Linked DNA regions of Schizosaccharomyces pombe. The protein of the gene in region 2 binds, or shares a complex with, the protein of the main gene of each other region. Each region holds a gene or a part of one and is shown on either strand. Other genes may lie near its edges. The genes, in order: cut3 and cnd1.

Region 1 (13,079 bases), 2.2 Mb from region 2:
AATGCATAGTTTGATGCGGCCAGTGCCTCTTGATTTGCCTCATGATCAAAAGGTTATGATTGCGAGTCTTATCAAATCTGCATATCCTATGTTTAGCCGTACAAATCAACTGATTTGCCTGTTTTACTGTTTGACAGGCAATGAGGAAGCCACGATTCAATTGATACAAATGCGTCATATATTTAAATTACAACTTGAAGGTCTTCAGCAAGGTGTTTTTACTTGTGCTCCGCAAACATTGGCCAAGATTAAGGAGAAAACCAGTCGCTATTTTGCCTTTGTGAAAGCTCAACTGTTAAGACTTCACCATGAAGTAAATAACAATAATATGAGTATTCAAAATGCTCTTGCCCATATCTCCTCGCTCCGTACTGCATCTATTAATCAACAGCAGCAGCCACAGCCACAGTCACAGCAGCAACAACAGGCTTCCCAGTTTCCTCAAGCTCCTTCTGTATCATCCAATGTACGTCCTATCAATGGATCAATTCCTAATGCGCAACCCAGTGTTCCTGGGCAAGCCCAACCTGCAGCCAAAGCAAATTCTGTTGGTAACACATCTTTTCCTGTTGACAGTAAACTTGCATTCCAATCCTTGGATGTATCTCAGCCGGATTTGCAAGCCAAACAGAAGATTGCATCACAAGTCATGAAACATGGTTTAAAACCAGAAGATCTCAAGTTACCGCCTTCTAAGAAGAAAAAGATAGAAAACTTATCGACAGTTCAAAAACCTAAGGATTCAGTCGTAAATACTCCTGATGTTATAATGTCAAGTGTAGATGAAATACCTTCTAGTGTTTCTCCAGGTACTATAGCCAAAGAGGAAGGAATGGCTAAAGCTCGGGAAGAAGCAATTGCTAATCCTTTGAAGTACGCAATCGATGCATTTGTGGCTGTAGACCATGAAGAAGAAGTTTCTGCTATCAAATCATCACAGACTCCTAGTTCTATTTTGAAAACACCTCAGTCGTTTTTCATTCCTCCGTCAACTCCAGATTTATCATTTACAGATAACAAAAACTCACTTAGTCCATCTAATATTTTGTCATTGGACGGAAAATTTTCATTTAATGATGATTCGGAGCTTTGGGCTGATTTAGGTAATGAAATCAACTCTGAAATCGGATTTTTAAAGGAACCAGATACCATGAATCTTGCTTTGGATGCAGATAAAGATAAGACTAAAATGCAAAATAAGCTTACTCAAATTAATTTTGATGAATCATGTTTTCTAGATCCAGCGATCGACGATAAAGATCCATGGAATGAAATGCTTCATGAAAAGAAAGTTTTGCTAAAGCAGCTTCAAGTGGGTAACGAAGATGAAGACAACATCGCATTTCCAACATCTACAAACATATGGCAAGTTGTGATTTAAAATTTTGTGATACGATGGTTCGCAATTGTTTTTTATTTATTTATTGCACGTCGTCTCAAAAAGCAAATTGGACATATTTGTCCTTCTACAATATCTTATGAATACCATAGACATATATTGTTTCTCTGTTTATTCAACGTTTCTCCATTTTTTGAAAGCATCTGTTATGTTGAAAATTGTGATTGGGAAAAGGTTTGTATAGTCCTTGTGTTTATATACAATGATAAAAATAGAACCTGAATTTAATATTTTGAAGATCCGGTTGTACCTTTATTAGGCACAATGCCAGAAAGTATGGCTTTTTCCCGATTAATGACCTGTCTATGAGACTCATTGTGAACATGAAAATGTCGGTATAATGAGGACCGTTACAAATTTTATTTATTCATACGTTTAAGTTGATTTTAGTTAATTTATTATTAGTGCACCGGTTGGTGTTGAAAATTAATTTGTAATCTCTTAAATGAATATTTGTATAGTTTTTAATGTTTACTATCTCAAATATTCTAAAAGTAGCTATCAGTTTATGTTTTTGCTTTGGTTCAAGAGCTTTGGTTTAACCTAACCGCCAAATAGCTATCTCGAATTACCATCTAACATGAGAAAACAAATTAATATTTCAAAACTCCCGATAATTTATTGAGCTTAATAATTAATTAAAATTTACGTATTATTGAAGTCAATAAAAGCTTTCTTTGTCTTCCATGAACAAAGAAACCTTGTGATCTCAGTCTTGTATATAACACGCTAACTCGTGGCCTACTGTAAATAAAAGTTATCTTACTAACGATATATTATTTCTTGATTCATTGAAATAAGAATCGTAGGATTTAACAATAATTGAATACAGAGATCTCCTAGCTTCATTATTAAGTACAAAATAGTCAATTAATTTTTTTATCAAGCAGATTAATTGCTTTTAAACTTACAATGAATGGTATAAGGAAAAAACCAGCAACCTTGCAACTCCATAATATAAAAACCAGCTGTTTCATTGATGGCAGTGATGATCAAAGCGATAGAACAAGGTCAAGTTCTGGAGATAGCACCTCTAATTCACTGAAGCTATCACATCATATATCTGACGAACTGATCAATGCCATATATAAAGAGTTAAAGTCGCCAGTATCACCTTGGGACAAAAACATTTCGCAGCATTCGCCATGGCTGTTGGAAGCGGCATCGAACTCCATTGGTGATTCAAGTCCTTTACTTTCACCAATCTCTCCATTAAAGTTAAGATTTCATAAATATTCGGTTTCGAAACAGCTAAACAGCGTTGGAAAGCAGGGTTTTGGTCTTTCTTCAAACCATAGTCGTTATGCCTCACCATCCTCCCCTGCACGGCTTGCAAGAGGTGCACTTGGTGAGGAACTTAGCAATTCGCAATACAGATTAGAATGCGCCGCAATTCAGAAGCTTGTTGCTCAAAAACGAGCCAATAGAAGGAGTAGTAAAAGCACTTTAAAAAATTCTGCAAATGATATAGAGTTTTTCGATATTGAAGAAGTTTCCTCTCGCAAGGGACTAATAGACAGAACACCTTCTAAAAGAAATGTTACTTCCCGAGTTTCTGATGCGTATTCTCGTCTTAAATCTGCTGTGAAAGGCGAATCAAGCTTGTCCTTTAAAAGAAACCGATCGAAATCGAAGAGGAAAATTCAGCACCTGGGTTTGACTGAGTTTAATGGGTGGGAACACCATCAGTGCGACTGGCTATAAAATAAGTGTTACTCAGATGCTCCATGTTAGGCTACATGGTGCTAGCCATGTGGTAATTAACATTCATTTATTTCCTTCATTACTTTCTTCCTTAGTCCTCCTATCTCTTATTAGCTGGAAAGCTTTTATCATTTGCATTTTTCTTGTTAATTGGTCTTTCATTTATCTCGTCGTGTGCATTGAGATTTCCTATTTAAGTTTACGACTCATATTGTTTAATCTAATTTATTGTTTGTTTCTAATTATTCTTAATTTACTACCATAAAATTAAATTACTTAAAATTGGATACGTTCTATATGGTATGCATACGATTGCAATAAATCTTTAAAAGCATTACCCACTAAAATATTATACTATGTAACTACAAATTGTAGATACCTTCTGAAATTGATGATGTAAACAACATATTTAATTATATACAATTCCTTTGCGCAGATTTTACAGGCTTTAAAAGCGAGTGAAGATTAATTTTATATATTTGTAGTCCTATTACGTTCATAAACAGATTTCTGAAACATTAACATAAACTGGGTGCCACAAAACTAAATTAGTTTAATCTTCTCATAACATAGATTTATTAGTATGCACACTGTGAATTATGAAACACTGACATTCAGTAGCCAAAAATTCGTAAATTATTAAATATCTAGTTTCCAATTTTCTACGTTTTTATTTGAATGTGCAGTTAATCTGTAAGTATTTCCTTGTTGTTGATTGTGACACTCTTAGTCATATTCGCCGTTTTATAAATGCCAACCAAACGAGAAGATAACTCAAACATATTACTTCTTAAAGAAATAACAATAAACTGCGCGTTTTTAGTTCTTTCCTTAATGTAATTCGCAACAATCGAAACGTTTTTAAAGTCTAATGCAGCATCGATTTCGTCCATAACGTATAAAGGAGTCGGTTTGTAATTATGTAGAGCAAAGACAAGGGCTAGAGAACTTAACGTCTTCTCTCCTCCCGAAAGGTTAGATATGTTCTTCCAAGATTTTTTGGGAGGCATCACACTAAACAATACCCCCTCAGAAAACGGATCCAAACTATCCACTAACTCAAGCTCTGCGTTTCCGCCCATAGTAATAATTTGATACATTTCTTTAAGCTTCATAGATATAATTCCAAATCCGTACATAAACTCATCGAGCCTCTGAGATTGAAGATCTGTAACGACTTTTTTCAAATCGGTTCTTTTTTGCAATTCACTTTGGTAATCAGAATCACGCTTTTCTGCTTCCTTGTTACATCTACGATATTCAGACAAAACATTGATATCTACTTCTCTGTCTTCAGTTTTCTTTTTCAAGACTGAAATATTAGAGACCAGCTCGCTTTTATCAACTGAACTCAGTTCATCTTCAGAATATTCGGGAAAAGTTGAGTCCATTGTTGTCTGGTCACAAAATTCAGTCAAATTGTGTAACTTCAGATTTGACATGAGCTTTAAATATTTATTTTCATTATTGCCGACCTCTGATAATGCCGTACGCTGCTCTTGAATTTGATTTTCCAATTCAATCCTTTCTGCTTTAACGGAATTCATTTGCTTAGATTCAAATTCAATAAATTTTACTAGTTCGTCGATAGAGGAATTGATGTCCCATAGAGCATTTTCAAATTCGCGGAGCCGAGATTTGTGTTCATCCACATACTTGTTTAACGATTGTAGTTCAGTCTTTAAAGTGGCTATACTTTCAGTAGTTGTATCGTACTCGCTAGTAAGGTTTGATAGTTCAACTTGGAAAGATTGACTGCGTTGCTCATTCTTCTTCTTCTTGAAACTCATTTTGTTAAGCTTGTCTTTAACAAATTTGAGTTGCTCATGCAAATCGTCGACCTTTGATTTTTGTATACGATATCGAATCCCACCTATTTCCATGATCTTATCTTGTAACGTCTTAATTTCAGTGACAAGGCCTTCATTGTTAATATTTATGGCCTCAACTTCCTTGTCCATATTTGATATTTTGTTTTGGAGATTCCGTTTACGTTCATTGTTGTTTCTAATACTTTTTAAATCGGATTTAAGCTGCAAGATTCGCCTCTCTTCTCCAGCTACCAATCTATCACAAGCAGAAACGTCAAGCTGCAGCTTTGAAATCTCTAGTTCCGCCGATGGAATACGTTCCGAAATTTCAGTAAATCGCTGATTAAGGCTCTCCAGCTCACTTAGGTGTTGGCGATATCGAGTGTCTTCTAGTTGCACTTGTTTATCACAAGTCTCAACTGAAGCCGGCGATACATCACTCGTTATAGCTGAGGACATTCCGCCTTTCTTTACTCGAGTACCACCTCCAGTCATTGTGCCCGATTTATCAATTAACTGACCACTTAGTGTAACAACTCTCCAACGTGTTTTGCCATACGCAATTCTATTAGCCTGTTCCAAATTTTTAGCAACTAAGGTATTCTGCAAAACGTTATAAAACGCAGGAGCGAATTTCTGATCATTAAACCGAAGTAAGTCGAAGAGCCGGGGAACATTCTCAGGTGTTTGGATACGAGCTAAATTTTTCTGCGCCAGTTCTTTGAGAATAATAAAACTAGCACGGCCTAGGTTATTGGAGCGCAGAAAAGCCACACATTTCTGTCCAGTTTCAATATTGTCAACTACAATATGATTTAAAGCAGGACAGGCAGTTGAAATGGCCACATCATAAGCCTCGTCAATTGTAGCCAAATCACCAAGACGTCCAAAGAAACCATTTAAATTATCAGATTCATGAAGTCTTTGAAGACTTTCTAACACATTTCCACGAGATCTAGAAGAACTTAAAGAAGCTTTCATCTCCTCCAACTTTGTTCTGTTTGACATAAGATTTCGGTAAGTATTGTGAACAGTTTCCTTCTTTCTTTCAATGTTCTTACTAACATCTTTCTTCTCTCCTTTTAGGTCGGAAAGCACTTTAAGCTTAGAAGACAGGATATTCCGATTTTCTTCTGCATCATTACGCAGTTTATCAAGCGAAGATTGAGAGGACTCAACATCGTTAATTAGATCATTTTCTTTATTTAATAACATATCCAACTCAACCTGTAAAATTTGTTTTTCTGATGTCAATTGGTTTATTTTCTCGAGGGCGGGAGCCATAGCCTTTTGCTTTTCTTCAATAGCATTTGAAATACCTTCCGTTTTTCCCTGTAGACTTTTCCTAATGTCATCCAAACTCAATTCTTCCTGTTGAAGTCTTAAACTGAGATCGGCAATTTCAGAATTCAACTTTTGGGAATCAATATCATGAGAGCTTAAAGAATTTTCTGCTTCTGATTTTTCGAATGAAAGAGCCTCAATGGATTTCTTTAACTTTTTTTCTTTATTAAGTAAAAATTTTAACTGCTCTTCAATCTTCACAGTCTGTTGTTCATAAGACTGGCGAGTTTTCTTCTCTGAAGTACAATCGTTTTTTACTTTTGCTGCCTTTTCACGCAATGATTTAACCTCTTCATTTTTTTCCGAAATATCTCGCTCGGTTTGTTCAAATTTCTCTAAATGTGCTTGTAATTTTCCTTCCAAACTATTAAGCAAGTTTTGAACTAACGTCTTTTTATTGCGTGTTTCGTATAGAATAGTACGGTAAAGCTGATTCTGTTTCATAAACAACTCATTTTCGTCTTTGAGAAAAGAAAGAACCGAATTTTTGCTATCTTCTAATTTCGCCTTTTCAGAGAGCACCAGTTTTAAACGAGATTCTTTCTCAGCACAGATATCATCAGAATTCGAAAGTTCTTGCATATTCTCTTCTATAATTGGCTTATATTTCGAGGTTCCGATGATATCTTCAAGATATTCAAGAAGACCATCATCACCTTCTGATATAGCCCGGGGCTTCATTTGCGCTATTGATTCGACTTCTCCTTGAAGAATTAAAAATCTCTTATGATTCAAGTCTATTCCTTTCTCCTTTAAAAGATTAGAAACTGCAGAAAAGGAACTCTCAACCCCATTTACAAAGTATTTACTAGTATTATTTTTATAAGCAGTACGACGAACTGTTAGTTCGCTTCCATCAACATAAGTAAAGTCAGAGTTTACCTCTTTAAAAGTAATTTCGACATCACAACTATCGAGAGAAGGATGAGTTGCAGATTTATGAATTAAGGCAGACGCTTTGGATTGCCTAAGTTTACTAGCACGAAAACCGAAAACAAAAAGTAAAGCATCGATAACATTAGATTTCCCAGAGCCATTTGGTCCAACAATTGAAGAAAAAGAAGGATGAAACGGACCCACTATCTGAGTTCCTGCATATGATTTAAAATTTGTTAGGCGTAGCTCGTAAACAACCAGTCTAGGAGGAAGAACCTGAGTGGTTTCTTCACAATTCTCAATATCCTCTGTAGTAGTAAATTCTGACACAAGTTGTGAACTCCGTTCATTGAAACCTGTTGATTTAGATGGAGTGCCATCTTGAGCAGACATAAATTTGTTGAGCAAATTAGGGCGTTCGTTTAAAGAATCGGTAATTCTTTTTTTTAAAAAGTCATTGAAAAATGGGCGAGATGGTGTTTGCTCTATCTTGACAATTGATGCGACATCTTTCTGAGAAGGAGATTCTAGCACTGAGCGAACCAACTTTCGTGGCCTTTCACCACGATCTGGCGTAACATCCACAATCGAGGGTGTTGAAGACGTTCGAAAGATGCCCTTGTCAGACATAAAGATAGTATCTTCAACAAATTATATATTACTTAAAATTCTAAAAGAGTGGGTGGTCGTGAAAAGAGGTGTGTTGTTTACAACGGTTGAACAGCATTTCACCCAACGATGAAGTCAATTAATGAATAAAATATACAAAAACCCACAGTTAAATTACACTAAAGCCCATGTTTATAAACTAAAGACTGAAGTATAATTGTGTAAACAGGTCATGTTAGATGAAAATGATCTATTTATTTTATACCTACACACCTGATTTAAAGGAAGACTTCAAACATCTTTTTACCTGTAATTATAAACTCATGTGTCTATTATACATTAAATTATTATGCTAGTCAATTTGGTATTCTTGGACGTTGAAAGTTAACTCAAAACGAAAATTAAGTAAAAGAGAATATTGCTCTGACACTTTACACTAGCAAAATATTAAAAGGACGAGCAGAATACATTGCTGTTTCTAAGTTTTTACTAGCACAAGCAAACATCCTCTTTCAATTCACACAATAAATATAAAGCTCAAAGATTTTTTGTTCTGTATTCCTTCATTAAATCTAGCAAGACGACGCAAAAATTTACCTTGTTTGGGTAGCCCTATGTGTGAAATAACCACGAATAAAGAATAATCAGTAAGTAATATAAATAGATTAGCTCTTTAAATGAAATGTTAATGCAAGGAAACGATTTGTCCAAGTTTTTTAGAACAACTTTTCAAATTCACTATTGTTTTGTATTTTTTTAGCTTTAAACTTGACAAGCCTTTTGCCATATGTTAATTTAACCCAAAATTCTTACATTTTGATTTAAACTAATCAAACGCAAATTCATATCTTCAAGCAATTGCAAGTAATTTATCTTTAAAACATTTAAATCTGTAAACATAGATTATTATATGCTATCTATGCTCACTTGATAACTTAGCTAAACTCTTCCTTCTTTATTTATTTATTTATTTTTTAAACAAAAACTAACAAGTCCTCTTAGTTTTTATTTATTTACGTTAAGTTTCTTTTTTTTAGTAAATAATTCCAAACTTAAAAAAAATTTTATAGTGATAAAACCTAGCAATGGACTTTATAATAATGATACTTTAGTTAATTTTTTTGTTGTTATTTGGTTATATCTCTATCACTAAACTACATATTTATTAACTATTAACTATACTTATAATTAAAACTCTTCTGAGTCTTAAAATAAAAAGCATATAGAATTGATATAAAAGATATTTAATATCTAAAAAAAAAATTAAAGGGTTGGCAATACATTTATCTAAATCAATTTGGTAATGCATTGGATCATCCAGCAGCCTGTTCCATCTTACTACTTTAAAAGTTTTTCTGTTAATTAGCATTAGATATAACGATGCACTCGCTCTGTATAACCCAGGAGGTTAGTTTTGTTTACCATCAATTCCTTCTCGTTATTGCAACATAGCGATGCCGCATATCAGATCAAAAAAGCCGCGTGAGTTTCTGTCCTTGCAGTTCTCCTTTACAATTAATTTGGTAGATGAAGGTGTTCTTACGGGGAAAACGAAGTAGCTAAATACTATAAAACATGATCCTTAATAGAAGAATTCAGGTGATTCTCCCTACCCTACTAATCTTATCGTTTATTATATGGATCTTTCACAGTGTTATGGTAGACAAAGATTGGCGTCTGTTTATGCCTGAAATTAAATCGCTTCCGGATCGAGAAGGTCAAGGTAGAAAACCAATTGAGATGATGTCCACGAAGCACGATAATAACACGAATAATTTAATGGTAAATGCATACTGGAAGTTAATTCATACGGTTGTTTCCAATTATCCAAACAGACCAACATTAGATGAGCGAGATATCTTAAGACATTATCTATTTTCTTCCGCTATTACAATGCCATGTGGTGAATACTCTGTGGAACTCCAAAAGATACTAGATGTACATCCTCCACAAACAAGTTCTCGAAAAGCAGCAACTACGTGGGCTTGCAAAGTACACAATCAATTAAATGAGAAAATGAATCAACCAAAGACATCATGCGATGGATTTAATGAGAGATATGTAATCGGATCGCCGACCTATCGCGAAAGCGAAGCTGAAAATGTTCCTGAACGGGTACAAGTAATTAACGAAGATCACGACTATTCTGGTTGATAACAATGGTTAATTTTAAGAATTCATGTATTATTAAAAAATATTACCGTCTATCATGCAATGCATTTGGATGTTAAGCTATTTATTTAATGAACCCTAAACTGATATGTTCAACTGTTTACCACCGTCATTTCCACTCATTATTCAGAAATGTTATATCGTTATGCATCAAAGTTATATTAGAAAAAACATAGAAATCACGTTACGGCCTTAACATGTTATGTCGGCTACTATTCACACGATCTGCCAAGCTTACAGAATCACCAGAGTAGATCTCTTTTCTCATATTTCTGATAAAATCTCCTTGGTTATCCCATTTTCTTGCGGTATCGCGTCTCTCTTTTTCCAAAAACTGTTCTTCATCTCTTTCTTTCTTTTCCAATAGTTCAATTTTTTTTCTTCGTGACTCATCTAATTCCTTAGCATTGTCTTGCATTTTCTGTAAACGGCTTTCTATATCGGTATGCCTTTGAGTGATAGGTTGCGAGTCTCGAGAATGAAATTGGTGATTTCGAGTCCTGAAATCCGGAGATGGTGAACGAGAATATTGTCTGCTTGTTCGCACATATTTTTTTAGGTCTCTTTCATCTTGAAAATGACCCTGATCAAAGCGCATATCATCATCGTAATGTTTCTTGAAATAACCAGAGTCATATTTATCTCGATGCCGATAGCGATCATTGTGTGTGCGTTCTCTCCAATTATTTCGGTCATTACGGTAGCTTCTTCTTGAATGCTCCCTTTTGTCAGAAGAATGTTGTTCATTATCTGACCTTTCCCTGCTTCTGTCTTGATTGCTTCGATGATGACGATCGCGGTGCCGCCGTTCTTTCGACTTTCTATCAGAGTCTAAAGAGTATTTCCTTTTTTCCATAAGCGTTTGTAGTTGTTTTTGTTCTTGTTGCTTGATTGCAAGTAAAGGATCTAGTCGCAACTTTGCCTGTGTGTCTTGTAGGGAGTTCGCGTTTTGAAGAGCGATAAACTCTGTTTTTTCTAATGAATTATTTTGATCCTCTATCTTGTCCTTTAAAAGATCATCTAGACGTCGCCTTCCAAGCAAATATTCTTCCATTTCTGAAGAGTCACGATTGGGTCCATTCGTGTTAGGAACTGCATACATCCACTCAACTCTGTCTTTTCTTTTTTTTCCACCAGCAGCTTCTTGTAGCCGATGTAATTCCAATAGTTGACGTTCTTCTTCAATTTCTCGCCTAAGTTGCTCGACTCGCTTCATCTCTTCTTTGTGAGCTTGCTCATCTTTCCAAACTTTTTCCTGGTTCCTCATTAGCAGAGGATGCCTAATCATAATATTAGTAAAACATCTTTAAACAATTATATTAATGCAAATAAATCCACTTACCAGCTTTTCTTCATATTTAGATCTCCACCACCCATTTTGAATTACTAATAAGAGTTGTTTAAATTTCAAAATAAAATTGAGAGGAAAATCCACTAATTGTTTTATTTTTAGGATTAAAAACCACAATTCTCAAAAAGTGGCTATTAATACAAAAAATTGAGTCTCGCTTTACCTGTGACTCATAGTGTTTTGCAAACATATACACTAAATTACTTGGGTAACATGTTACCCAAGAATAGAAAGTCAAGCTTGCGAATTCTGAGACCAATCAATAATAATCACGTTCAGATTTCTTAGTATTTTAGCTATAACTAAGTCATTGATAAACGTAAGTTCTATTTCACTTTAAACTGATTAAAAAGCAATGTATCATTAAAAATCCTACTTGATTATGAATGTGATTTTAAACAAATTGGTATACAGCATGAAAACATGGGTTGAAACTTAATTATATACTGGAATAGAATATGTGAATTCAGTCCAATAAGTTGCATATTATATACTTAATCCATTCAAAATCAATCAACATTTCTAAAATGAGAAATGACTAAGTTATTCTCCTTGGCAAAACGATGGTAATTCAGCAAGCAAAGTGTAATTTACATAAGCTATGCATTTAATGAAAAGATTAACAATCACGTTTTTTATTTTTTTTTGTGCATGGAGACATGACAAACTTCAACATCAACTTCACTGGATATTAGTAATGATATCCAGAATTTTTGCGCTTCTGAGAGCCTATCATTATCGCTTTTAACTTCTGAAAACATAAATTTTTTTTTAGACGGATTCCACAAACATAAATCAGGTATCCCGCTAGAACTATTTTTATAATCTTGGGTCAAAGCAAGAAATATTTGGGCGAGTCCATTATCGTTGATACAATCGACAATTTCAAGAAGCATTTCGCAAGTATACGACCAATTAAGACCTACACAAAATGTTTTTCTTTGGTGCTCTCTGATATAATTATCTTTTATAATTAGGCCAGCTTTCCCATTTCTTATTTCCTCAAGTCTTTTCATGATTGTCGATTCTCTAGATATATAAAAGGAATCAGTGTGCAAATCCAAAGGTGCACTTTGAAACGGAGATTGAAAAACACCAGGAACGTCCTCAAACAAAATATCCCAGAATGTCAAAGCAAACAAAGTTAGCAAAATGCTGCTTTCAGCATGTATACCTTCCCACCCAATCGATTGATAATGTTGAAGAGCAAGCTCTTCAACTGTGATAGCATTATTAGTCTTGCTACGCCAAACAGTCCGGTTTGAAAGGTCACCGTTATGTATTCGTTCACCATGAAGAAAAAGTCTTGAAGGATTATTATTTATAAGTTTCATGCTTTTTAATTCGGTAGTATTAGAGACTTTTAAACACTTCCGTAAGCGAACAAGTCTCCTTTGTAAGCTAAAGTAATATCTGAGGTGGGTATACTTGTCTTCAATACCATTTTCACAAGTTGATAAAGCAAGCGTTTTCCAATAACGCAAAACGTTAGTATCCTCAGTTTTAAAGTTGTATTCCAGTAAGGCTTTTCTATTATACCAATGTCCTCTTTTACCCACCAAATATATATTTTGAGATAAAAGGGTATCTAATATTTCATGTTCAACCTCAACTAATCGCGACTTCGCGAGAATATTTAGACTTTTATGTATTAAGTATGTGTAAACAGCACCAGGACGAAAGCTAAAAGAAAACCTTACCAATCGAGTATCTACTTTTCTATTTTCTTCCACCCAAAATTCCCTAATGTCTTCATTTAGATATGTCGACCATATAGGATATATTTCAAAAAAACTGTTCAACGCTTGTTCGA
Region 2 (12,387 bases):
TAATAGAAATTTGTAAGGTAAAATGAACATACATTTAGCTCTGAATGTCCAAGTATATCGACGTGTTCTGCCGAGCGAGGTCCTCCTCTCAGATCAAACGCAGCAGGTTCATGCTTGATTTCATAATTTGTGATACTTGTATTAGCAGGATTAAACCTTTTTGTTTGCCAAACTTTATTGCACACCAAACCAAGGGCTAATATTGGTAAAGTTCCATCACCATCATCCATAACAATACCCTAATAAAACAGTTAATAGAATGTTTGAAACATAAATTCTCTCACATTTTCAACTTTTGTTCCATCATTAACCGAGGAATCAATGACAGGTTGCCCCTCAGGATTATTAGTATAATAATAACCTCTCTCAGTTGGTTTTCCGACCCCGTGAACGCAATAAATTTTCATATCAGGAGCATAAGGAAGACTAGTCTATTTGGGTTAGTATAATTTAGTAACTTTAATGTTCTTACTTCTAGCGGATTTATCCATTTAGACGGCATTTCGTTATTTTTTAACACTTCTTTTTCAGTCCAAGCAAGACCGTGGGAATAATTTTTCGCTAGCATGACTTTAAAATCGTCATCTGTAACATTTTTTAAAAATTGTAATGCATCATCTATGTCAAATTCATCGTGGTCCTTATCAATGTCTTCTCTATATCGAATAATTGCACCATTGGAAAAATTTGTTTGATTAAGATCATCTGGAGCCTAAATATTAATAAAAAATTAACAGCACATATTTCTTACCCAACTGGCATTTCCCCATACAACATCGCCTCCTTTAGGAAGCATAGAACTAACTCCTCCCATAGTGCGAACCATCATGGCTCTCTATTAAAAGTTAGAAAAAGTAGAGCACATTTGTATTTTTGAATATACCTCAGAACGGGAAAAAAATTTTTCCAAACTAAACAGTAAATTAGTAACAAATCTCAACAATTTATTGCTTACCCATAGACCGAAAACTGATTCAATTGAGCTTAAAACGGTTAGCAAAAATTAAATATTAACATGTTTAATGTAATTACAATACCTGTATCTTTCATTTCACCCGATAAAAGCGCTGCCACTGTTTTGGGTGCTCCAATCAAAGATCCCGATATCTATTCAAAAGTTAGAAACGTAGTCAAACAACCATCGAGACTCACATTTATAAATGCTTCAATATGATCATTAACCCAAGTCGGTCCACCATTTCCGTAGCCCTCAGCTTCAACCCACTTAAAAAAATAGTACGTAACCTGTGAACCCATGGAGTGAGAAATCAACACTACCTTTTTCTTATGTACAATGTTGCTGTACTCAATGAACATTTTTAACTTTGAAAAATATTTATCACGTTCCTCTAAATTTGCATATGATAACCGCCAATCGTAAGAAGCACTTAACATGTTATTAGGCTCATAACCAATTGCAGCAAGGTTTTCAATTACTTTACTCCAAATCCAATAGCCCGTGATAAAAAAATCAGCTGCTTCAAACCCCTGAGCTGCTCGCAGCTTAATTCCCTTCGGATCCAAGCCGGTTTTTTTATCAAGCATTAAATGTTCAAGCCAGCATTGCTTGTCAAGGAACATTGCCTTCAGCATAGACCAGCTACCCCAAAGACGTTTCCTAAAGTAAGGAATCGAGCAATTATTAAACGACCAACTTTCTAATCCTGAGCTGATAACACCAGGAACCATAATAACAGGATGGTCACTTCGATATCCCTCATTGTACATATCAAGACCAACTTGAACTTCATTTCCGCTAGGAGACTGCGAAGGCTTGTCCGTAGTAAAAGGTGCATCCTTAAACACATTATAAGATAAATATCCTTTAATGTCATCAAACAAGTCTGAAGAGCCTAGCATATTCCCAAATTTATCTAACGTAGCAGGGTCGAAAACAGCATTGTCGTCTCCAACAGCGAAAAAAAAAGCACCGCATATTCCCAAAATAGCGCCCAATATAAAATTCAATCTTTTTCCAAATTTAGATTTTCTTGATTTATTTGAAACAGATTGTGTTTCGGACGCTGAAGGTTGCTCACTCAAAGCGCGAGTTGGTTTCTTTGAATTTGGTAAGTCGATAGGAGATTTGACTTCTTTCTTTTTCTTATGAGTTTTGCTCTTCTTGGAAGACGCCATAGTTAACTTTAAAATATGAATTGCTTGAGCAGCAACTGCCAAACATTCGATAAGTAAGCGAAGTCCTTACTGTCATAGTTCTACAGCAGGAGTGATAACGAAGTGAGCGTTAAGTTGCTTTAGAAACACGTTTAATATCGGTTTCCTTCTACAATTGTATTTTGATTTAGTGTCTAAAAGTTTGAAATACCTTATTTCTAGTTAAACTGAGTTACGTTACAATGCACTTATACTCAGTATATGCCGATTATATTTATTATCAAAACTTCTAGCCTGAGAGGATGATGACAGTTCCAAAAAATGATCTCTGTTCAAGTATGTAATTTACCAATATTTGATACAGCCTAAAATTGAGAAGAGTTCCTCAGTTTTACTTAGCAGTTAATGAAGGTGAATAGTTTTCTAGGGTAAAGTTAAATCTTCTTCATAAGCACAAAAAATAATTAATGACCCAGCTAGAATGTGCAAATTACTTAGCTAATAACTAAATTACCTTAACTTGCGCTTGAATTGTTTAATTGTTGCAAATAATGGGTGTTGTAGATCAATGAAGTTATAGTTATTAACATTCAATTCGTTATAAAAAAGGTATACCGTCATTCTTCTTTTTAATTAGGCAATACTAATATACAAAGGATTTTGAATATGTAAGATAAAGCATTAGAATTGACTTTATTCATGATATCCATCGTCAATGAGCTTTTGAATATTATCGGCTTTATGAGGAAGCAAAGAAAGTGCATACACCACATGATCCCATTGACGTTGAGTTTTACACCGATCAAGACGAGCAGCCAGACGTTCGGCTAATTGCTTGGTATGTCTTTCTTTTTCAATAAAGGACGTCAAGAAACGAATGATACGCTTAAACTTAGCGTCGTCCTCATCCTGCTCCTCTGCACTTCTAGATAATACACTGAAGATATCAATAAAGTTATTATATACAGAATTATCCTTGGCTGCAAAATCAGTAAAAAACATTCGAGCAAGATCAGAAATTCGAGCATCTTCGTCTTCCAAAGAACGAGCCATAATACCCAGCTGGCCCTTTACTTTTATTTGACCAGCTAAAATCAAAAATGCTAGAGTCATAAAGCATGTCTTTTTGACAGAAGACTCTTCATCCATCAGTCTTCTATATAAGTATTCGGATATTTCATCAATAAAATGATTGAAACAAACAGTTAAATCTGCTAACCCGATTACTAAGTTGTTTCGAATAATCGGATTATCACATTTCTCCAGAATGGTTATTAACAATGGAAGATGTTCCATACAAAAATTGTTAGAAAGACACATAAATTTGGACAAAGTCAGAGAAGCAGCTAGTAAAAGGCTTTGATTATTGTGCGATTTATGATTTGAGCACAATTCTACTACCAATGGAGCAAATCTCGAAAGTAAAGAATTCTCACCATAGAGCAACTCCCTTTCACGAATAAATGTCATTGCTTCTGAAAAATCATCTTCACTTGTTCCCGTAATTAAATCATATTCAGAAGTTTCTTGCCCATTTATAGGATTATTTGAGTTCTGTACGGCCAATCTCTCGGCGTCCGCTTTTCGCCGTTTGAACTCTGCCTCACAATATTCGATATAGACTAATTGTTTAATCGCGACATGGCCTACTAAAAATATTAAGTGCGCCAGTCGTATACCTATTTCTTCCTCATCTTTTAATGTTTCTTCTTCTGGAGAATCATCTAAATCTTCGTCCATTGCATGATCATCGTTACTGGTAGTATTCTCATGATTGGAAGGTTTGAAGAGTTGTTTCGTCAAAAGCAAAATAATGTTGGTACAAAGTTCGTCAGGATGTTTGGCAACTGCATATATAGCCTCAATAGCTTGCTCTTCTAACCCAAACCACTCTTCAGAGAACGATGGTCGAAGTAAAAGCATACATAATTTTTGACAAAGCGTATGCGAATTTGGAAAATTAATATTAGAAGAACCAGACGCATCTTTGCCAATACGTTTAATCGCTATACATGTGTACCTTGCAAGAACTAAATCCTCCAAACCAGGGGGACCAAGTCCTATTTGAATAAGATGATCCAAGCCCTGCATGACAACATCGGTATTGCCTAATGCTAGCATTCCAATTACTATGATGGATCCTCTACGTTGTGTTCGAGATATATCCTTCTTTTGATAACTGTATACTTGCCATAGTTTTGTTATGACTAGATGTGAAAAATACCCATCTTTCATCAAAATGCAAAGCATCTGTTCAAGTGATGTAAGCTCAGCAAGGCTAGCATCATATGTTAATGAAATAAGATTTCTCGCAATATAGTTTGCGGCTTCGTTGGTACCAGAGTTCGGAGGTGGCTCAAAAAATAATGTTTTATAACATGACAATACATGGTTCTGAATGTTGTTCCCTTCGTCGGAGGTTCCTTTTACCCAAATTAAATGAATCATTTTTTTTATATATAATTTTGAAGACGAAATTCCAAAAGAATTGCAAAAAACAAAGAAATCCATTGACTCAATTACCTCGCTCTTATTTTTAGCAAACAACAACTGGCTTATTATTTTTGCTCCCGCTTCCACAATGTCTATATATTGGAGTGCTTCTAAATAAAACCGTTTCGTTAAATTCACTTTGACTATTTCCTCAGCAGGAACAGAATCGACATATTCGCTTAGAGAATTTTCCAAGTGACTTTCTCCTTCATGTGACTCATCATCTTGGATCATAGTAGCATCCTCTAATAAGTTTTCATCGACTTCAAGCTCTGAATCTACCACCTTTTCTTGTTGCTTTGGTTGTAAAGAATTAAGCTGTTCCTCGATGATAGATAATCCTTTCTCCCAAATATTTCTGGTTAGTAAGCCATTGTGCATAACTGAAAAAGGATGGGTAGTTAAAAGTTTAGAAAATAACTTAATTGCATTTCGGCGGACATGACTTGACCGATCTTGCAAACATCTGATCACGAGTTCCGCGATTTCTTGACGTTTTCTGGGATACTTAATTGGTAAATCAAATATTTTGATAAAGACGTGAAGTACTTTAGTACGACAGTAAGGGCTTATATCTAGTAATCGCTCACTGAGAAGATCCATTAAGCTTTGAACAGTTGCTGGCACTGACTCTGACATTTCATTTTGAGCCTCATCATGAATTTGATCAATGACCACATTAGCAAGTACTTCTATGATAGCGCATCTCAGAGTATATGATTCCGAATCAAGCAGCTTAACTAATTGAGTAAGCTGTTTCAAACATAAGTTTGGAATAAGTGAAGAAAGACGGACAAGAAACAAAGCGACTTGCTTGGGACCTTTAACATCGTTATCATTAAATTCTAGAGAGCACAATGTTCGAATAATTCCTTCAGCCAAGGTAACGGAATTAAACTGAACGGTAACAATATGAACAAGATCAGCAGCATACTCAGATAAATGCTCAAAGTATTGTAAATTTTGAATAATATTTGTCTCCGCTGCAGTGGTATGGTTATGGAATTGAACAGCAAGCCCGATAATATTAAATAAACGAGAACGGAAAGAAGCATTTTTTATGTTAATTTCACTTTCCATTAACGTGTATATTGGTTTTAGGAAAAGTGAAAGAAACATGTCTCTTTCCGAAGAAGTAGTCCATACACGAGATAATTTTTTTTGAAATAATGTTATGATTGCATCTAACAAAGCATTTACATGTGAGATACCATTCCAGTTAGAGTTAGTAGTTGGATTTTTTTTTCTTCCCTTAACAGTATTAGTGGATGACCGAATAACTGAAAGTTGATTTGAGGAAGAAAGGGAATTGACCGTGAGCTGAAATGCAATGCCTGTAGTTTCTAAATTCGTTTGAGGTACAGTAAAATCAGTAGCATTTGCGGAAATCATATCTTCAAGAATAGCGGATTCAGAGCTGATATTACTCGTGAGTAAATCATATACTTTATTCCTTACAGAGGAAGAGAGGTCAGCAAAGTGTCTAAACCATTATTGTTAGTTTGGTAAAATTGATATATAGTAAACCAAATGGCTTCCTTCTATTTGAATAACACAAAATAACAACTACTTACGAACATATAGCAAAGAGTTTTTCCAAGCAATCCTCGTCGAAACAAGAACTCGTTCCTAATAAAAGGGTATCAATGACGTCTAATTTTTCATTGTTAGTTATTGTGGAATCGATCATTTTCAATTTTTTTAAAAACCCAAATGTCCATACCGTTAACCACGGCTGTCAATCCAGCATTTTCACATTCAGCATAAATCGAGTCCAAGTCGGAATTTTCTTCATCATGAATGTATTTCTTTAATCTAGAAAGAAGATCCAACGACATTGAGGCCACTGAAAGCCGAATCTTTCTATGTTACGAATGAAATAAAAGATGGATTTGGCGTACTACATTCTAGTAGTCCTTGTAAACAATAACCCCACCTATATGTCCTGTGTGGGGGTCCATTTATACTTTCTTACTAACAAAAAAGAGCTACGGTTAGTCAAAATATAAAATAGGAGCTAGACTTAATTGTTGCTAACCACTTTAAGGATATAGAACGTGCTTTTATTAACTCATTTGTTTACATTAAAAAATAATATTTTAATTAACTTTTATTGAGCGTGCCACGTAAAAGCTATTGTTCTTTTTAGTACTTCTAATTAAATGTTTTGAAAAGAATTTAATATATTTTTTGAATAACGTTAGTTGTAAATTCTTTCTTGAGCTGTATTTCTGATATAAAAACTTATAATTTATTTTGGCGCATGTATCATTTTCAAGGTGATTTTCAAAATTATTATGAATGCAAATTTTGACGAGGTAAGCATTTGTGCTGTTTTTAGAATTTTAAAGTAATACACAATAAACTAAACAGAAAACCTATCGTAGTTTAACTAGGAATAAATTTCAAATTCAGGATAATTTTTTTATTTATTTTTAAATAACAGAAAAAAAAAACGTGTTTGAATACCATGGTTAATCATATTTACTCTCAATGTCCAATAAATAGTCAATTCTAGTTGTTTATGGTGGTTATTAACAATAACAAGAGCCCAAAGGATTTATGTTTTTTAAAGCAAGTCCTAAATTTAAAAAAAGATAAAGGACATGAAATCTTAATCTTTTCCATAAGTATACAAATATTATAGCAGAGTACTTTTTTTATTAAACAAAAGTTGGATTAAAAATGTATTTTTCTTGTTTGGAAGTAACAATGTCCCTCATTAGAAGAGCATTTTGCTTAACAATGTACAACTGGTGTTGAACCTGGAATCTGCAAATTCTTATATTCATGGAATGAGTTTGTGTTACACATTTTAAAAACTTGATTTTTTTGAATCTTAGTATTCGTTCGCGTGTTCGGTTTGAAGGTTTAAAATACGTGAAAATTTGTTTTTTCTTGGTTCCTTCCCTTGGCAGCATTTTACCATTTAATTGACGACTCTTTTAATTTTTTTTAAGTTATTATTTGGTTTAAAAATATATGAGTTAAACCGTTAACATGGCAGAGGCCCATATCACACTATCACCTAAAGTAACTCATGAACAACAAACAGATATTGATTCTGAATGTGAAATCACTGAGGTGGACGATGAAAATGTAAACGAAAACAAATCTCAAGAAATGATTCAAGATATCCCTGCACGAGACCGCGAAGAAATTGAAAATATCACAAGGACGTTCGTAGAGCTACAAGAGAACTATCGGCTAATTGAAAAAATTGGAGAAGGTAAACTTCAATTACCGTTTTTAGTACTGTTTTGAAACTATCTTGCTAATTCGTTTAGGTACGTTCTCCAGTGTATATAAAGCGGAAGACCTACATTATGGGAGGTATATTAATGATTGGGACATTCAAAGTGAAGTGTTAAAGGAATCTTCTTTTGGAAAAGAAAAAATTCCTGTTAATGAAGACAGCCGGAAACCGAAGTACGTTGCTATAAAAAAAATTTACGCGACAAGTAGTCCTGCTAGAATATACAATGAATTAGAAATCCTATATTTATTAAGGGGATCGTCGGTAATAGCCCCGCTAATAACTGCTTTAAGAAATGAAGATCAGGTACTCGTAGTTTTACCCTACTACGAGCATACTGACTTTCGTCAATATTATAGCACTTTTTCCTATCGCGATATGAGCATTTATTTTCGATGCCTTTTTCAAGCTATGCAGCAAACTCAGACTTTGGGAATCATTCATAGAGACATTAAGCCTAGTAACTTTCTCTTCGATGTTCGTACCAAGCATGGTGTCTTAGTTGACTTTGGATTAGCAGAGCGTTATGATGGAAGACAACAATCACATTCTTGCCGGTGCACTAATTCAAATGCGGCCGAATTAGCACATGATTTTTCGATTGCGCAGGAAACATCTCTTGGATACATAAAAAACGATACTCGACCAAGCAAACGGGCCAATAGAGCCGGAACTCGAGGATTTCGAGCACCTGAAGTATTGTTTAAATGCTCATCTCAATCACCCAAAGTTGATATTTGGTCTGCTGGGGTTATTTTGTTATCTTTCCTTACTAAACGTTTCCCCATGTTTAATTCAAAGGACGACGTGGATGCACTCATGGAGATAGCATGTATATTTGGAAAAAGCGAAATGCGCCAATGTGCTGCTTTACACGGTAAGAACGATCTAATGTCCCTTACGGAAGTGTTTGTGTTGATTTTTTTCGCTAACCTGCCAGGTTGTACGTTTGAGACAAATGTAAGCACGCTTACAGAAAAAAGAGTAAACTTTAGGAAACTTATTTTGTGGGCCAGTTGTGGTTCAGCCAGTATATACAAAGAAAAGCTTCGTCATAAACCAAGCCAAGAAGAGCGATTGTGCCTGGATTTTTTAGAGAAATGTCTTGAACTTGACTGTAACAAAAGGATTTCAGCTGAGGAAGCATTGGATCACGATTTCTTGTATCTCGATAATTTAGCTTACGAAAAGAAAGATGACGATACAGCTTTTGATAATAGCTTTGGAGAAACCTCTTTCGAGAAAGACGAAGACTTAACTGCTAAGCACTTATCCCATATCCTTGATTTTAAAGAGCAGGAAGAAACAGATGAACCTACTTCTTTATCAAAGCGGAAGCGAAGTATTGATGAAATTTTACCAAATGATGCTTTGCAGGATGGAGCTTGAGAAGATTTGCTGGCAATTTCTCATCAAGCAATCACTTATATTTGTGCATACATTTTCATTTACAGTATAAGCATTACTGTAATCATTGGGTATTAAAGTGAAAGCATTATTGTATGTCTATACATCGAAAATACCCTATGGAATTTTTGGGGTGCATTTTCAGTTACAAACATTAATCCATAATTAATTTTACCATAGCATAACGAACACATATCAGCAGGTGAGGCTTTTTCACTTACTGACTTAATTGAAATAAAATCTCTATACACTATTTGACCAGAGAATAACACTACAGATTGATCATACAACAATTATATTCCATCAAAGTATAGACGGATAAACGAATCAAACAAAATTAATTTTATTAAGCCACTAAGCAATCACAGGATGTTCTTAGGCAATGAGCTCAACGACACCACCAGCTTGCTTGATCTTCTCTTCAGCACGACGAGAGACATAACGTGTTTGAATGATGACGGGAGTATCAGGCAGACGACCCTTACCCAAAACCTTACCGTAACCAGATTGTAAGACATTAATAACGGGGGCAACCTCCGTGTTTTTACCAAGATACTTTTCACGAGTTTCGTTGGGAACCAAGGTCCAAAGACGATCCAAATTGACAGTAGGACGCCACAAAGGATTCTTCATGAGGTGGAATCGACGCATACCAACCTTACCAAAGTAACCAGGGTGATACTTATCAAAGTGACTACGGAGGTGTTGCAAACCACCGGCCTTACCACGACCACCGGGATGCTTCCTGTGCTTACCAATACGACCATGGCCAGCTGAGACGTGTCCACGAAGCTTACGAGTCTTAGAAGTATGAGTAGGCATCTCGTTTCTTCGCCTTAATAGAGTGGGTAGTCTGAAGCAAAAAGATGTGTACAGTTTTTTGAGAGAATAAAAAAAAGCAGTCACATTTATAGTTGAAAGTGTAGCGTTTTACGAATTTAGCCGAATTTGAAAGTTGCAATAAAACAGCTAATAATTAAATATGGAATAGTAATTTTTTAAATATTTTAGGTTTTTAAATTCCTAAATTTGTTTTGTTGCGTGTCTAATTTTCACGGGCATCAGTGCACTTTCCTATATTGTTCGAATGTAAACAATACTTGTCGGCATATATCTTTGTCAAATAATTGTCGCCAGATTGTTAATGTATTGATCGTTTGACAATTGAATTAAATATGTTTGAGGTTGTCCAAAAGCCATGAATATGAGTACCATCATATATATACCTTAATGAATTTAGAGGGTATGTATTTAATTGTCTATATGAAAATGTAGTGAATTTTTGAAAATTAGAGATGAGATGTGTGTGCATCCTTGATTAAGCATCGTAAATTTCTGTCGTTCTTTTATACAAATTTTAAAGAGTGCAATCGTTCGGATCATGTCAAAATTCAAAAAACTAAGACTGTAACATACAAATCTGCGAGCCTAATTGGCGATAATTAGAAAATGTCTTGAATAAGGTAATAAGTTGGATTTTAATAATTTTACTTCACCCAAGAATCGTATTATACTTTTACGCTCTAGGATTATATATAGATAAAAAAACGTTTAACAGTCAATTGGCAAAGATACCACGGTTTAGTAACGAAACTAATTATGCTGAGTTCAAAGAAACTATAGCAACGTATTTTACTTGTTTGTTTAAAAAACTAATTACTACAGTACTCAAAAGTTAGGGTCTCATCCTGACAGTCAAGCAATTGTGAAGCATCGTCGGCATTCTCCTAACAACACTACTTCATGGATGTGAAATCCAAGCATGGACACATAAAGTCCAACCCAGAAGAATCGCTTCTATTTAGGAATTCTGTGTCGAAAAATATAGCACAATTGTCTTCAATTAATTATGCAGACCGGAATGTTCAAGCGGCACTAGAACAATTGTCTGAACGAAAATTCAAAAATGAAAGAGAAGCACGAAAGCAACTTCCATTTGAAGTGTTTTCTGATTTAATATGGACGAATGGGTCAATCATCAAAGAGCTGTCAGAGCTTTCAAGTGTATGTTAAATACTAATCCATCAAATATTTCTGCAACGCACTAACTGTATAGCAAACTTTGTCTGTCCAGAGTCAACTTTTGAAAGTTAAAAATTCAATTGATAGCTATAAAAATGAGTGGTCTAAAAAAACGAATGACGCACAAATCTTATTGAATTCGTATGAGACATTCTGTGAAGAGGAAGCATTGATTGAGGAAAAGCTCAAAAATATTGAAATATTTGAGAAAAACTTTGTAATAATGGACGATGATTTAATTCACTTGACTTCTTCAACTGACGTTGACGATCGATTTTACTTAATTCTCGACAAAGCGCAAGAGATTCATGATAGTAGTGATTCTTTATTTGCTTCACTTTCTGGCTTCGTGGAGTACTCTTCTTTCGAGGAAATTGTAAAAAAAATGTCTCGGTATATTGAAGCTGCATTTGAAAAACTTTTTCGATGCGTACAGACCGAACTGTCAGATCCTCAGACTGCTCAAACTTTAGAAGCAAATTCGCATCTAAAAAAAGCTTTTACCAAGCTTTTTTCAGAACCAACAATGGTAAACAAGTCAATTAATTTAATTGTTCAGGCCCGTCAACAAATTTTATCTACGGCTTATCTGACAGCTCTCACTAGAGGAGATTTTTTATCATCCTCCAGACCAATTGAGTTGTCGGCTCCCGATACTGTGCGCTTCATTGGAGATTTACTTGCTTGGATTCATCAAACAATTGTTAATGAAAAGGAACTAGTTGAAGCTTTGTTCGCCGCCCGAAAGCGCCAGATTCAGTTAAATCCCTTCCCTCCTTGGGACGTTCCTAATGTTTTAGAAGATCAAATGAATTCCTTACTTGATGGAAGCTTATACGGAATTTGCCGTCCTCTATCATCTCGAGCGCAGACTTCGGTGCTGGATCTATCAGACATAGTTAGACTATATAACGTTATAGAAATTCTTGGTTTTTATAGGGAGGCATTTTCAAAGATCGTGCATGACGAGTGCATAATTTTGAGAATTATTAAAACGTAAGCTCCAAAACGAAAAGCGTGTATATTTGTTAATTACTAATACTCTACTATAGTTTGGAAGACTTTACCTATCAGAGAATGAAAACTGTGCTGGA

What was found.
Region 1: cnd1 (region 2) and cut3 share a complex: the UniProt entries of both Schizosaccharomyces pombe proteins name them as parts of the condensin complex.

The regions. Positions count from the first base shown.
Region 1 is NC_003423.3:998,700-1,011,778, forward strand, and holds cut3 (condensin complex SMC subunit Smc4), read right to left. Parts: upstream 7,825-13,079; 5' UTR 7,765-7,824; coding exon 3,790-7,764; 3' UTR 3,564-3,789; downstream 1-3,563. Other genes in the region: mediator complex subunit Med15, read left to right, coding at 1-1,381; SPOM_SPBC146.02 (uncharacterized protein), read left to right, coding at 2,312-3,103; erv2 (sulfhydryl oxidase), read left to right, coding at 9,319-9,897; protein Cwf25, read right to left, coding at 10,100-11,195, 11,258-11,292; fan1 (fanconi-associated nuclease 1), read right to left, coding at 11,902-13,079. UniProt on the Schizosaccharomyces pombe protein: Central component of the condensin complex, a complex required for conversion of interphase chromatin into mitotic-like condense chromosomes.
Region 2 is NC_003423.3:3,194,197-3,206,583, reverse strand, and holds cnd1 (condensin complex non-SMC subunit Cnd1), read right to left. Parts: upstream 6,497-12,387; 5' UTR 6,447-6,496; coding exon 6,332-6,446; exon of another isoform or gene 6,262-6,331; coding exon 6,183-6,261; exon of another isoform or gene 6,158-6,182; intron 6,092-6,157; coding exon 2,809-6,091; 3' UTR 2,598-2,808; downstream 1-2,597. Other genes in the region: phospholipid--diacylglycerol acyltransferase Plh1, read right to left, coding at 33-239, 285-431, 473-712, 752-835, 884-911, 956-983, 1,038-1,107, 1,153-2,136; Dbf4(Dfp1)-dependent protein kinase Hsk1, read left to right, coding at 7,609-7,837, 7,896-8,741, 8,805-9,253; rpl2801 (60S ribosomal protein uL15), read right to left, coding at 9,647-10,093; COG complex subunit Cog6, read left to right, coding at 11,015-11,275, 11,328-12,289, 12,346-12,387. UniProt on the Schizosaccharomyces pombe protein: Regulatory subunit of the condensin complex, a complex required for conversion of interphase chromatin into mitotic-like condense chromosomes.